Lepisosteus oculatus: one gene and its partner. The protein of the gene in region 1 purifies or fractionates together with the protein of each later gene. This does not show direct contact. Links are inferred from orthologs where the notes say so. Each region holds a gene or a part of one and is shown in the gene's direction. Other genes may lie near its edges.

What was found. The genes of interacting proteins can lie anywhere in the genome.
Region 2: the proteins of sirt1 (region 1) and jun purify together in Homo sapiens (affinity purification with mass spectrometry; 4 studies listed by BioGRID and IntAct, with this or other methods). This does not show direct contact. The link is inferred for Lepisosteus oculatus from reciprocal best matches to the Homo sapiens genes SIRT1 and JUN.

The regions. Positions count from the first base shown.
Region 1 is NC_090699.1:33,370,145-33,377,429, forward strand, and holds the start of sirt1 (NAD-dependent protein deacetylase sirtuin-1), read left to right. Parts: upstream 1-4,183; coding exon 4,184-4,550; intron 4,551-5,368; coding exon 5,369-5,488; intron 5,489-5,757; coding exon 5,758-5,996; intron 5,997-6,592; coding exon 6,593-6,745; intron 6,746-7,050; coding exon of another isoform or gene 7,051-7,070; coding exon 7,071-7,218; intron 7,219-7,285. Other genes in the region: dnajc12 (dnaJ homolog subfamily C member 12), read right to left, coding at 3,022-3,099, 7,051-7,104. UniProt on the Homo sapiens protein: NAD-dependent protein deacetylase that links transcriptional regulation directly to intracellular energetics and participates in the coordination of several separated cellular functions such as cell cycle, response to DNA damage, metabolism, apoptosis and autophagy.
Region 2 is NC_090704.1:17,935,062-17,942,799, reverse strand, and holds jun (transcription factor Jun), read left to right. Parts: upstream 1-4,896; 5' UTR 4,897-5,448; coding exon 5,449-6,417; 3' UTR 6,418-7,175; downstream 7,176-7,738. UniProt on the Homo sapiens protein: Transcription factor that recognizes and binds to the AP-1 consensus motif 5'-TGA[GC]TCA-3'.

The DNA.
Region 1 (7,285 bases):
AGTAGGGGTGTAACCCCGGTGTCCTGGCCAAATTTCCAATTGGCCCTTACTAATCATGGCCTCCTTATAATCCCCCTCTATGAATTGGCTACATTACTCTGCTCTCCTCCCCACTGATAGCTAATGTGTGGTGAGCGTTCTGGCGCACTATGGCTGCCGTCGCATCATCCAGGTGGATGCTGCACATTGGTGGTGGTGGAGGGGAGTCCCCATTACCTGTAAAGCGCTTTGAGGGGAGTGTCCAGAAAAGCGCTATATAAGTGTAAGCAATTATTATTATTATAATTCACTATTGTCAGTCTTTGCTCCATTTCTTGACTAAGCTTGCTTTCTTCTTGTCCTATGAAACTAATAAATAGCTATATTTTTATTTCATTTTATGCAACTGGTTTAACTGAAACATTTCCTAACAAAATGTATAATCTTAAGTCAGTTCTGCAATTCCGATTACAATACCTTGGGAAGAATCAATTGGTCCTGTTTTGGCAACACAGCAAAAAAAATACCATATTTGTGCTTCTTTACAAATTGGAGTTCACGTGCAACATCTATGCATAAAAGGAATGACATCAAACCAGAGACACAAGTAAACACGTCAGTTTGCGTCCTTCTAGCTTCTCTCATACATACAATCTACTTCCTTTCTTGTCTCAGAGTCTTATCAGAAATGTTTTCCATTGATTTGCACCTGAAAGGATTATCTATGAGAAAACTGCTTGCTTTGAAGAAGAGTGGAAACAAGCACTCTGGTGAATCTAAACGGAGAACAATCTTCATTGTGTGCAAAGCCAACGTTGTGCACGTCATATCTGCAAAATGCTTGAATGGTCCTGAATTATATAATTTGTATGCATACCCATAAAGGGTGGAAAATGGTGTTTATTTCGCTGGTGATATGCAAATTAGAGAACTCTAATGACATTATCACACTTTTTCCTGCCTATGTTACATAAGGTTTGAAGAAGCGGCAGTGACCTTGAGTAAATGAAAGAAATCCAGGGAACCATGAGCAGAATGTGTTTTGTTGAACGTCAACAGACATGAAATGACGTTAAGAGCTGAACAGCCCTCAGTTTTCTCAGATTAGAGTTGTGCATAGGTGTCAGGGAAGCTGATCTGCAAGTGTCCAGAACATAGATGGGTTTGGTAGACTGAAAAATCCACACATATTGTGATGAGACAGACTACGGTTTAGGGCACCTTAAGGCTGCTGTTTGTGTGGCGTGAGCAGAGTACAGTAGATGCTGAGGAGTGCTGTTCAAACTCAATAAATACCCAAAAGACAAAATTAAAACTAAATGATTTGCATGACCTTTTCAGTGAAAACACATATAGATGCGGAATAATGTACTGAATATATTATTTTCCGTACTAATAACATCTCTAGATTTACTTAAGATCTTTGGCATTTCCAGAAGGTTGTCTAGGGTAGTCCTAGCTCACTACTACTACTGATAATACATTCCATTTCCTGATCACTTGTGACTGCAGTACTTATCACATTGTTTTTTGTGCAGCATCTATGCATTAGTCTATTCTTACACTGTAAGACTATTCACAGAGACAAAGAAACTGTGAAACATTAAACCCATTGTAATTACAGTGTCCAAAAAACACACCCATCTCATCCATGTGCTAGACAGCCACTGTGTACTGTAGCTGGCTTCATGCCTAATCATGACTAGAAGCTTCTGGAACTCATGATGCTACATCTGTAATCACAAGCCGATAGCTGAGAGGCTTGGTGAAAGTGCTGATAGACAGCTGTGTGGGACATCTTCAATCATGCAGAAGCTGCACACCAGCTGCACTCTGAACATTCAAGCTGCAGAACACCACTCCAGGTCTCAGAATGGGACCTTAATCGATTGACAAGGATGACTGGGCATTTAATTCACCACTGCTGACATTGTGACTTCCCATTTGTCTGTTTTACTGTGGAGGGAGGGAGGTTAGATACAGTAAATATCTTGGCAAATGAACTCTTGTAGTCTGGACAGCTGTTGTTTGGGTCTTCACAGGTAAGCTGGTCATCAAACATTTGTGGATCTCAATGTATTTTATCGTTTAATTTACAGAGTTATTTTACACTGAAATATGTAGTTTGTGACAGCATGTAGTGCGTGAAGAAATTAGCAAGGACATTTATATCATCTCACCCTAACAGCCAGTAATCAATACTAACAGAGTGTAGTTAAATATAAATAATTACTTTCACTTCTAGTTTTAATTAACAACATGGATTTAAATTAATCATGGGCAGAACATCCTCAGTAAGACTTTCTTAGTTTTTTTTCCTCTCCAGAAATTAGCAAACAGTGAAACTGTGTACTCCAATATAACTTTTGTCGTTTAAAAACATCAATTTCAGGAATCCCAAAGCTTGAGCAGATCACCAATACATCATCATAAATAATATTACAATAAAACGGCAGCATTACCCCCAGAAATCTATAAAAATGGCAGGGTTGTTCATTCTTTTCTGTTCCATGTAAATGATACTTAGGCAAAGAAGGCGTATTTTAGAATATTTTCAACAAGTACCAATTAAAACAGGTACAATCGCTTGCAAAAGTCTACATTTCCACTTACTGTCATCAATCAAAATAACTAAACATCTTCTCCACTTCCTGTTAGCTTACAATACAATGACACAAACACTGGTTTTCCATTGAAGGGATTTAAAGAAAACCAACGGGTGCTATTTCGATGCACGTTGTATATCCTTCACACCGATGGATATGTTCAATAACACAATGAAGTTTATCTATTAAAAAAAGAAGTGTCTCTCTCCTTTATCCAATTGCTACAGTACCACCAGAAAAAGACGTGAAGAAAAAAAAACATTTTAAACATCTACACAGATGTTTAGTGTTTAAATTAGTTTCTCTATCGCCATTCAATAAACTTTTAAACTGAAGATGGGTCTGCAAAATGGCAACGTTAGTAGAAGTTATTGACTTAAAACAGGGAAAGCAGTAAACCAATTCAACACTTCATTTTAGCTGATTTAAAGCTTACCGAAGACAGTTCATCGCATCCAAGCAAACCGTAGTAGTCTTCCAGATCTTCAGGTTTGCAGTTCAAAATCGCGTCCATCTGAAGACAGGTAAGGTTTACCAACACTAATCAAGATACGCGTAGTTCAGTACCAATTGCTTCAAATATGAGCAATGAAACAACTTTACCTTAAACCTGCTAAATGTAGCCTATCTTATGACTCAGAAAATAAAAAAAAAATCATTCCAGTTCTTTCACGCAACGGTCAGCTGATGCTTTTGAGCATTTTGATCCAGAGTTTATTGGACCAGCGACGGTGGGAGGAGAAAATACACACTGAAGGGGCTTTGACTTACATTACACAATGCAATTTGGGATATGTAGTCGAGATGTCCAGTACATCTCCTGCGTTGTACCTAGAACCTGTTAGTATGTCTATTATCCCGCTTCGTAAATTTTAAGTTAGGTCTTTTAGTTTACATTCCGTATATCAGGCAAAAGTACCGTAGAGTGTGATTCAAAATCTCGCATCTAGCAATCACTGTTTAACACCAGTATGTATGTTTTAGAGCCGATATCGGTGCACAAAACCCTTTATAGCACCTATCATCATCTAACCGAAAAAGATTAAGCAATAAGCAACGTCCTTTATCATGATTAAATGTGATATACATCTTTAATTCAATAAATATCAGAGACACAGTCATCCCTGCTTTCCATACTTGCTCGCCTCCGAGCCTATAAAATAACGGAAGCCATTTGCCAACAACGCCTGTGCCTTTCAGGCAGATACATAACGCTTAAACTTAAATTTGGTTTGATGGCCGAGATGAATCATAGAATAAAGTTGCAATGGTTATTAGTATGATGGATTATAGAGAGACGTATAGATAGAGAAAAGTCTTGTGATGAAGCAAGGCGTTATCCGTTAGATACAGCCACGGTACTACATTCTTTGTCAGCCCCGAAGGCGCCTGCGCAGTCGCGTCGTTCCGCCCCTGGCTCCACTCTAGTCACATGACATCGTTTGTTGTGGTTGACGTCATCGGCTGGTAGCGGTGTCGCGTGGGCCACCGCTGGAAGAGATCGAGTCACGTGGTCCGTTTAAATCTCCCATCAGCTGTCGTGCACGGAAGATTTCTATGGTCGAGTCTGAGCGGCGAGGAGCCCGAGTGAGCTAAAGATGGCGGACGGAGAGAATATCCTCCTAAACTCCAGCGCCAGTGGCTTCGAAACAGATGAACCTCTGCCTAAAAAGCCGAAGGTGGGATTGGCGTTTAGTTACGGGGATAAGGCCGCTCAGATCGATCAGGAGAGTGGGATCGGGGCCGGCGAGACTGGGGCGGCGGCTGCCGTAGCACCAGCAGCTGCAGCGGTGTCGGCGGCGGCGGCGACGACACAGCGGCCGGGGTTGGAGGAGGTGGTGACGGTGGGACAGGCCTCGGCTGCACCAGGAGGAGACAATGGGCTTCTGGGCTTGGAGCTGCAGGAGGGGCTGGGGGAGGAGGGAGAGAATGATCCGGTCGGCGGTTCTGCTGCAGAGCGACCAGGTACGGAGTTCTCCGCGATCGCTGCTCACTCCTGTCTGGTCCACTTGAATTAACGTGGACAGTCTAATACAGTCTGTAGAACTTTTCACAACTCTACCGGTGGATAAAAATTACATAATAAAAAAGTGCAACATAAATGCCGTGCAAGGGTAACCATTCTGCACCAAGCGTACCTATTTACCCGCCATGTACAAAAAACTCCGAAAACTTAAAATTCTGCATAGTCTATATTGAACATACATTTAATATAATATTCGTGATTTAAAATTGAGAGTAAAATTTAACGTAGCATTTTTCGTGTATAACTTTAAGGATTAATATAGGGCCATGTATTTCTGAAGTGGGCATCGCAGTTTTGTACAGAAAATTAACTAATGCAATGATCAGAACGTGCACATATCAAGAGTATGGCAAGAAGGTTTTCTTACGATTTACTTGCAGGAAAGTACCAGTGCGTCTGGGGTGCATAGTATAAGGTTATTAAAGTAATTAAATAACGGTTTATATAGACGCTGGATTCTTTACCGAATAATCGTGATTTCCTCATACAATTTCACATCGAATTATACCCGTCTACTTGGCGCTTTATTATAAACTCTACAATCAATTAAAAAAAAACACCAGAATCAGTCACACCTCTTTCCTGTGCATATATAATTTGTAAAAAAAAATCTGCAGATTTCCTTGTCAGTCTTTCAATTTTTCAGACATGGCGTTGAAGATGTTTCCATTATTTTGTGATTAACTGATTTGTACAAACTCAGTTAGGTCAAGACAGAGCCGTGATTCAGTTTTCTTACTTTTGTTTTTGCTGACAGAGTACATTGATCTCAATGATGAGATTCTGCCCAATGGATTCCATTCCTACGATTGCGATGACGATGATGACAGATCTTCGCACGCAAGTTCTAGTGACTGGACACCTCAGCCCCAGATAGGTATGGCTTTTAAAATAGTAATAAACAGTTGTGTCAGTAACGCAGACATTGTAGTTTTATTCAGAAGACAAGAGTTTGTGTATGGGTTTTAAATTTCATTCTTGCAGACAAAAATGACAGTTGCATTTAATTTTTTTTTGAATATGAGATTCCAGTTGAAGTATTGCTGAAGTGGAAGACTGCTTTTGGAAATTAATTTAATAGGTTTAAGAGATATTAAGATTGTGTCAACTGAAAAATTGATTCAAGTCAAATATGTTTTGTTTCAGGCTCCTACAGTTTTATTCAGCAACACATTATGAGAGAAACAGACCCTCGAACGATTTTAAAAGACCTTCTCCCAGAAACTGTTCTTCCTCCTGATCTGGATGATATGACACTGTGGCAAATAATAATCAACATATCGGAGCCTCCAAAAAGAAAGAAACGCAAAGACATCAACACCATGGAAGATGTGGTCAGGTTACTGCAAGAATGTAAAAAGATTATAGTTTTGACCGGAGCTGGGGTATGTAATTATTAGAAATGTCACTGAAGAAATACTAGAAAGGCTGTGTTTGTCTTAAGAGCTACAGCGGAGTACATCGTTTCAAAAATAATGTAGACATAACTGTATAGCACATAGCAAATTCAGGCAAATGTTACTGGAAAAGCATATTGTGTAAAGCTTTTTATAATCCTATATGCCTCTCAGTAACTCTTAATATCACACGGACTTACTCCAAAACCTACATCATGAGCTTAAAATGGTGCACTGTTTTAGGATTGTTGGATGTTAAAATTTGGTTAAATAACTAAAAGCTGAGCAGAAATTCTTTGTAGCTGGGAGCTGAATCTCCTCCTTCATTGAATTTAATGGAATAATAAGAGGAAATGCTGTAATTGGGGAAAAAATGAGAAAATCTAGGTATTTAAAATTATTGTATGCGCAGAAGGAGCGGACACCAACAGGATTTTTCCTTCTAATGGAATCTTGAGGGTGTTTTCAGTAAACCTAGATATATCTTTCTTTAACATCATTACATGGGTCTTTTGAAATAAGTAATTTAGTGTTGGATTTTATGAAATGTGAAAAGAGCTGTAAACATTTCTTTCTGACTGCAGGTCTCGGTGTCCTGTGGAATACCTGACTTTAGATCCCGTGATGGCATTTACGCGCGGCTTGCGATTGACTTCCCCGATCTTCCTGATCCTCAGGCGATGTTTGACATAGAATACTTCAGGAGAGATCCGCGACCCTTCTTTAAGTTTGCCAAGGTTTGTTCATTTAAATGTAAGAGCGCCTTGCCTATGTCACAGATCGCTGCCGTCATTATTAAACATGCCAGAGTGACTGTGACTTGTGTTATGAATAAATATTTTACATCCAAAGCATTTTTTGCTTACTTTTTTGGGAAATTGCATATTAACATGTACATGCACCAAAATCACTACATTTTGAACAGGAGATGATTAAAAGTATAAGAAGAAATGGTCTCCATTTTTGGGGTGTGTAAAATGTTCTAAAATTATTTGAAACATCTTACATTCTCTATCAAGGGCGGAGTTTTTGGGTTACTTACAGTGTGTTCTGCTCTCTCAGGAGATCTATCCAGGACAGTTCCAGCCGTCGCCATGTCATAAGTTCATTGCAATGTTGGATAAGCAGGGGAAGCTTCTTCGAAACTATACTCAGAATATCGACACACTGGAGCAAGTGGCTGGAGTACAAAGGATCATACAATGTCATGGTTAGTTTACCGTCCGTGATGCGTTTAATACATTTAAAATACAAGTCATGAAAATTTTCAGATAGTA
Region 2 (7,738 bases), on another chromosome or scaffold:
GCCACCCACTTTTTACTCATAAACACAAAAATGCAGATAATGAAAAAGATTTAATGCACCATAGTTCTGTTCCTAGAATCAATTTAAGAGATATAAAAATCAACCAAAGGTGAAAAACAAAAGTATATCAAATTAATAAAGTCAGATGACACAATGCCATGTTTTGAGAAGAGCACTTTATTATATTAAAAGGAAAACTTATTGGGTGTTTGTTGCTCATATTCTGTAAACAGTAAATATTTGTCTGCAAAAGAGCAACATTTCAGAACTAAATGAAGAACAAACAAAGAAAGCCTTGTGGAATGTGTGGTTCTTTCATTATCTTATCTTGAAAGTTTAAACTGCTCGTTCTTTGCAAGAAAGGTGGCTTGTGTGTAGCCACTTCTCCTGTGTTCAAAAATAACAGGTCTTGTCTAAGCTCTGTTTAAGCATTACACAACTGGAAACAAACTGAGTACAAAACAGCAGTACATGTTATTACTTCACAAGCAAGGACATATTACTTAGAAAATGAAAGATTGTAGGGTTTGTCACACAATAAAGCTTTTCAACACATCAATGTTGAGAAAGTGAAACTCTGTGTGTTGACCAGACTGACAGATTTCACATAATGCAGAATTTATGCGTATGCAAAGGCAAAACAGTTTATCAGAAAAGTTTATGAGTAATGAGTAAAATGTAATCAATTAAATTAGGCATTTATAGAACCATGTTAAGGTATTAGGTATTAATTTTACTTTTGCACAGAATATCAGAATAACATAATATCTATACTGCTGCTGAAGTAACCTTTTCCACATTGTACACTCCTGTTTTCCTTGTTACATTAACCATCAAATCTTTGCAAGATTTTTACCATAAAACTCCAGGATGTTTGTGGTGTTGTTCTAACTATAAGAAAGCCTTCTATGCTTCAGTTTTCCTCTGTAGTTCAATATTACTTGCAGTAGAAATGTTAGATATTTCTATTCACTTGTATAAATGGAAGCTACAGAACATATCACAAACATGGAGATCTCAGCAGCAATGTAACAAGACATGGGAGACATCAACAAAGACATTAAGAATGGATCCAATTATAGACAAGTACTAATACTTTCCATCAATCATGGAAAGCCACCTTAGTTAATGCTACTTGTTATGCATTGTAGTAAGCTCAAAGAGTGCAAGATTGCTAATATTTTATTCATGTAATAGCTCTCTCAGTCAGGCTCTTAGTTTGATAAATACTGGATGGCCAGGCTGTTATTTATTATCCACTGAAAGGTTTACTAGTGGAGCTCATATGATTTTGGGAGAGGTCCCAGCAGTAAAATGAGCTTTCAAATAAGAGGAAAATACATTTTAAATTGTTCATCATTGTGAAGTTCAAATGTCATGAGCAAAAAACTCTTTTAGAAGCAAATCTGTTAAAAAGACAGAAACAAAGAAACGCTTTCTCCTATATTATTGTATCGCCATGTCTCATTTATTTCTTGCGTGTCCGTGAGCCAGAATACAACCTTGTAAACGATTAGAGACAGTTAAAACCCGGAGTAGTAATTTAGACCACTAAATAAACGCAGCCGGATGGCACAGTGGCGTGGGGGGTTAGCGCAGCTCAGCTTCTGTGCTGCTTGACCCCCGAGTCTGTGGGTTTTCTCTGGTCCAAAACCACGCTGTCCTAGTTAACTGTCATCTCTGACATTACACCGTGTGCGTGTTCAAGAGAATGTGTATGTGCATTTCCTGCGAACGACTGAGTAGGGGTAGCCTACCTTGAAAGGACAAATCGATTACGGATAATGGAAGGACCCAGACTCTGGAATTTAATATGCGCAGTGCTGAGTTTCTGAATTGTTCTTTAAAAAAAATAATTCACGAACGCGCCCTTGTATTCAACCACTAGCACAAGCAGTCCCTTTACACTCTGAAAACCTGCGATCATTTTTTTAACCCATTATATGTATTTTATTTTCGTAATTTGCATTTCTTTTGTGTTCTTTGGCGTCTATATTAAAACGTTTTCTACAGTTAAAGGTGTCTGAGATTTCTCTAAATGTATATACATATTAATCTAGAAATCTATTTTCCACAGTTCGGGTAAAACGCTGCTCTCTTCTTGACGAACTTTGCGATCGCTGTGTTACAGCAACAAAAAACCGGGGAGGGGGGGACAAGTGAATTTTAAAACGCGGTATCCTTTCATTACCATTTCCAGATATACTCAAGCGTATCGACCAAGTGCAGTGTCATGTTTACGTGATGTACAGAGACCGAGCTCGGGCTGTTGCAACAATGTGAAACTTATTAGGGACATGCTCAAAAAACACAGTAAAAATAAAAACGCAAAGGCAAGAGTAGCCGAACAAGTACTTCTACGAGATCCCTATCGTTAAGCAACTACTGTATGTATTGTTTGGGCATGAGGAAATTACTTTTCGGTTTTTTTTATATATATATATCCACTTCTGATTACCTCCGATTATTTAAAAACAGATTTTTAAAATTATTGATATGAACCTATTTTATTCAAACCGTATGCCTCTCTGTAACCTTTCTCTAGATCAAAACACTTTCATTTGAATCCGGAGAGTCTTTACCGAGATACAAAACCATATTAAAGCAGATAATTATTCTATTTCCTCTGATAAACCTCCCGGCTGTGTGTGGTGGGGCGGAGACTTACATCTAAGAGGCTGAACAACAGTGTTTGTACAAAATCTCCACATATCCGCAGATGTCTATGAATGATTTATAAAGTAAATATATAAAAACTTCAGTCGGATAAACTCGCGATGGAATAGGCATACATAACATAGTGTATATGCCATTTACTGTATGTGTGCTGTGAGAGCTTCACCTTTCGTATTTATTAAGTCTTTTCATCACACCTAAACAGAAAAAGCACTACTTCTGATGGTTATTTCATTAAATGAAAGTATCAGGTTATTTCTGTATATATAATCTTAATTTTTCACTTACGATTTATTTATATCGGGTGTTACGTAGTGTGCATCAGCGATTAGTTAAAATAAATGTAAATACTACAACCGTTTATGACAATTAGACGCAGTATAACAACGACGAAATATAACAAACGCATACTATACATATAAATATACGACAATGTAAACTTTTCTTTCAAAAATTACTCCATACTTGAGTACACAAATGAACATTCATTTGCTATGTGCTTTTTTCGATAAGTGTCCCAGGACATTCAAAACTTGGACAAAGTACCTTAAGCAACGTGTCAGTTATATCAACCTTTAAAGGTATTTAAACTCTGAACGCAAACATCTTTAAAGAAGAAATACAAGACGACAGAAGTATTTGATAAATGGCACAAGAATGAACTAGACAGAGGTACAGTACTGGGATAATCGTTTTCAACAGAATAAGAACAGAATAGAACAGAATACGCGTTTTGTACTCTTTGTATCACAGACGATTCAGCACAATATGGAATAGTAAGCAACTGCTTTCTTCAAAGGGTAACACACATGCGTTAGCACAAACAACATTTTGAAGCTTTATAATATTGTTAAATTTGAAACGACATTTCTCTAATTGGTGTCTTTAAAACAAGACAAATTAGGATAAGAGAACAAGATGCTGCCCGTCCTAACCTAAACAATTAATCATTAAACTGATATTCGCTAAAACAGTTGCATTTTAACAATCCTACTAAAGCTAAAAAAGCAGGAAGTATTAGTACTGGAGTCCAAGGCTTGAAAACACCTTACATAACGGTATACCCAACATTGTTACTATCCACAAAGTAGGAAAAATGTACAGCGAAGTAAAGTCTACACCTTTGTGTTTTCATGGTATAGAAAAACATGTGAGTCACTACCTGTACCTAGTAAAAACTGAAAATATTTTAATAAAAAAGTTGTCTTCCCGTGTTTGGATGAATTTTGTAGTTTAGAGAGCACCCCTTATGCTAAGTCCCACAGACGTTTGAGAGACCCCTGCTGTAACTTTACCTTAAACCCGCCTCCTGCTTTAATTCGATTGGCGGGCGACGCTCGGACAACTGGACGTGTATCATGTCAATATCACAACAGACGACCTAATCCATCGATTGACCCCGTTGTGACCAGCGCGCTAAACCTAACCGAGACATGTCCCTGCATGTAATACAAACAGACTCGCAAAACATTTATAATTCCACTGGTGAGATCAATTATTTATCAAGGTTTAAAATTAATCATTCATATTATGATGTAGTGTGTTCTTACTTTAACATGTTTTATTTAAATTAACATTGTTTTTACAAGCCAAAACAAAGTTTGACAAATGGTTTCTCAAAAGTGTATTATTTTCACATGTGATTCCATTGCTGCATCAACAGCTGTACTGAATTTGTAAAATAATCGTATTTTAGTATTTAATAGTTTTAATCCGTCTACTCTTGGTAGTGTGTCGTACCTTGCACCATCTTCAGCCCTTATTAGGTCTATTCCCAATAATAAAGTGTCATTAAACAGAGATACAGGTAAAATGCATATATGTCCCAAGATTTAAACTTTCAAGTACGTTTTACCAGCTTTAACATAAAAATTGTGTTTTAATCATACACCAATAATTATCGTAAAAACTAAAAAATTAATACATTTAAAAAACAAAACGAAAATGATATTCCTTTAACAATTAAATATATCTAACCGCTGTCTGTGTAACTAAGCGGGTAACCAGATATTCAAAAACAATACGTAATCCCATAATGCACAGTACTTCGAATTACCTCATCCCATCAGCCACCGCGAGAAGTAGAATCTTCTGGGTGGTCGTCTAGGCAACGCACCTTATCTGAAAATAAGGGCACGCCCAGTGTATTGCCTGCAGCCAATAAGAAACTTCACGCATTACATCATTGCTATTTTTAGTGAGGCAGTACCAGCAGATAAGGTTTGCCTCCACGCTGGAACAGCTCAGAGTATACAGACTTTAGCAGAGTTCAACACCCAAGTCTAAAGAGGTGTATAAGCCCCCTAGCAACTTCAGCACTTAACACGTTTCTTCAGAAGACAACTGAAGAGTACCACAAAAGGCACTTTTAACAGACACTGCTTCAGTTACACCCCGAGACTGTGCGTGTCATTGAGCAAGCTGACTCAGAGAAGTGTCGCTAATAAGGAAGAAAACTTTTTTCCCCATTTGACTGGGCTTTGGGGAGTTCAACTTAAACATCCAAGTTCGAAGAAGCTGACAAACCCCCGAGTAGCAACAGACGTTAAAGACGGGCTACACTGGACAAGTACTTCTACAACAACTTTGAAACTGAAGAAAAAAGGGCTTTCTTCTATAAAGAACAGACTTTTTTTCATTGCTGAAAAGTCGAGGAGGACTGACAAGTCGAACTTTGACCGAGGTGGACTTTCAATAACTACAGGTAAAACAAGGGAAACTTTTTTGTCTCCTGTGTGAAAAATATTTGAACTGAGGTTTGGTCAAACTTCTATGTCTACCAAGATGGAACCTACTTTCTACGATGACTCGCTGAATGCTACCTTCTCTCAGCACGAAACAACCGGCTACGGATATAACCCTAAAGCCCTGAAACAAAACATGACCCTGAATCTCTCAGATCCAACGGTCTCTCTCAAACCTCACCTGCGGGCAAAAGCCAATGACATCCTGACGTCTCCGGATGTCGGACTGCTCAAATTAGCCTCCCCGGAGTTGGAGCGGCTTATCATTCAGTCCAGCAACGGTCTCATCACCACAACCCCGACTCCGACACAGTTCCTGTGCCCGAAAAATGTCACGGACGAGCAAGAAGGGTTCGCCGAAGGTTTCGTCAGGGCACTGGCTGAGTTGCACCACCAGAACATGCCCGGTGTGCCCAGTGTCACCTCGGCACCGCAGAGCAACATTAACAACGCGATGGCACCTGTTTCCTCTATGGCTGGTAATACAGTTTTCAATTCCAGCATGCGTTCCGATCCGCCCGTGTACGCCGACCTCAGCACGTTCAATCCCACCATGAGCACCGCAGCGGCGCCCAGCTACAGCAATGCCAACACAAACATGAGCTACCCACCTCCGCCGCACCAGCACCCCATGAACTCGCAGTTGCCAGTTCAGCACCCGCGGCTCCAAGCTTTGAAAGAGGAGCCGCAGACTGTACCCGAGATGCCCGGCGAGACCCCTCCCCTCTCCCCCATAGACATGGAGAGCCAGGAGAGGATCAAGGCCGAGAGAAAGCGCATGAGGAACAGGATCGCTGCTTCTAAGTGCCGGAAGAGGAAGCTAGAGAGGATTTCCAGGCTGGAGGAAAAAGTGAAGACGCTCAAATCTCAGAACTCTGAACTGGCCTCCACCGCGAACATGCTCCGGGAGCAAGTGGCCCAGCTGAAACAGAAGGTCATGAATCATGTCAACAGCGGGTGCCAGCTCATGTTGACACAGCAGCTGCAAACCTTCTGAAGGAGAACGCGCGAGCGAGTTAAAGACTAATTGCAGAGAAATCAAGGACGAAACTTAAAAGGCTATACGAGCTATAGCAGCGGTCAGTTAGTATGCAGCAGTGAGAGAAAGAAACGGACTGAGAGAAAGACGAGAGACTGAGAGGAAGGAGGCTGCCTGACTGCCTGAGCCCCGCGCGCACAGGAGTTCCGACTTGACTGAAGTCCGAAACTTCAGAAGCTGAGTTTGTCGGTAGCAAAAGACAAGGCCACAAACAGCACAGCTTTGTAAATGTTCTGTTTCATGCTTTTTTCCCTGAAAGAACGAAAAGAGAGAGACCACGTTGACCAAGTTTTGCATGGACCTTACCTTCGAAGATCATTCAGTATTAAAAGATTTAAGTAAAACAAAATACACTGCAATAGAAACAGTAGGTTGCCTGTATGTAACGCCATGGAAAGGCGTGTACTGTGATGAAAGAAGGCTGAATACTTTTGAAAAAAGTTGCCTGAAGTTTGGGTTATGTACGCAAGGTTTTTTTTTCGTTACTTTTATGGCAACTCACGTACTTTCAATACAAAAAGCTTCAAGCCTTTGTAAATTTGTTTTATGTTGCTTAATGGGGTTTAACCCATTGTTATTTGTAAATAAGATTAAATTTTGAGGACTTATGTTTACCATTTGTAATAAATATATAATTTTTTATGTTGGTTTTCTGAAGATTTCAGAAACTAATCGATTATATTTAAGGACCGTGTAAATAAAGTATATAAAATGAATGTCTGTAATGTATCTCTTTTCTAAGTTTTGGGTGGTGGGTTTGTAGTTGTATAAGGAAAATGGTTTTCTTCCCTAAACGTTTTTCCCCCACTTTTTTCATATAACGAGCAAGTTAAAATGTTCTGAAACTGATCCGTCGATAACTGCAGGCATTCTTCTGTACTCTCCACATCCTACGCAAAATTCCCTCCCTCCTGTTTTCAGAAGTGGTAGGTACTGCACTGCCTCTTTCAAGTTTGAAAGCTCAAGAGGAAATGCGTGTTCTTTTATACACTAGGATTCTTTATACCACAAAAGCAACAGTTAAGTGCCTAGCTGACCAGACTTTTGAAAACTGAGATATTGATATTAATTGGATCTGGTGTAAAAAAAAAAGTTCCTGTCAATTTTAAACAGGCATTCAAAAAGTCCTAGCCTTTTTTGTATTGAAAACAAATCTTGAGTGAATCACATCTTTTAGTATGTGTAATTGAGCTTGATTTCAGGTGGTCTTTATGTGACAAAGTTTCAAGCACAATTATTTGCCTCATTTTGCAGTTAATGCTATTTGAACTGAATGGTT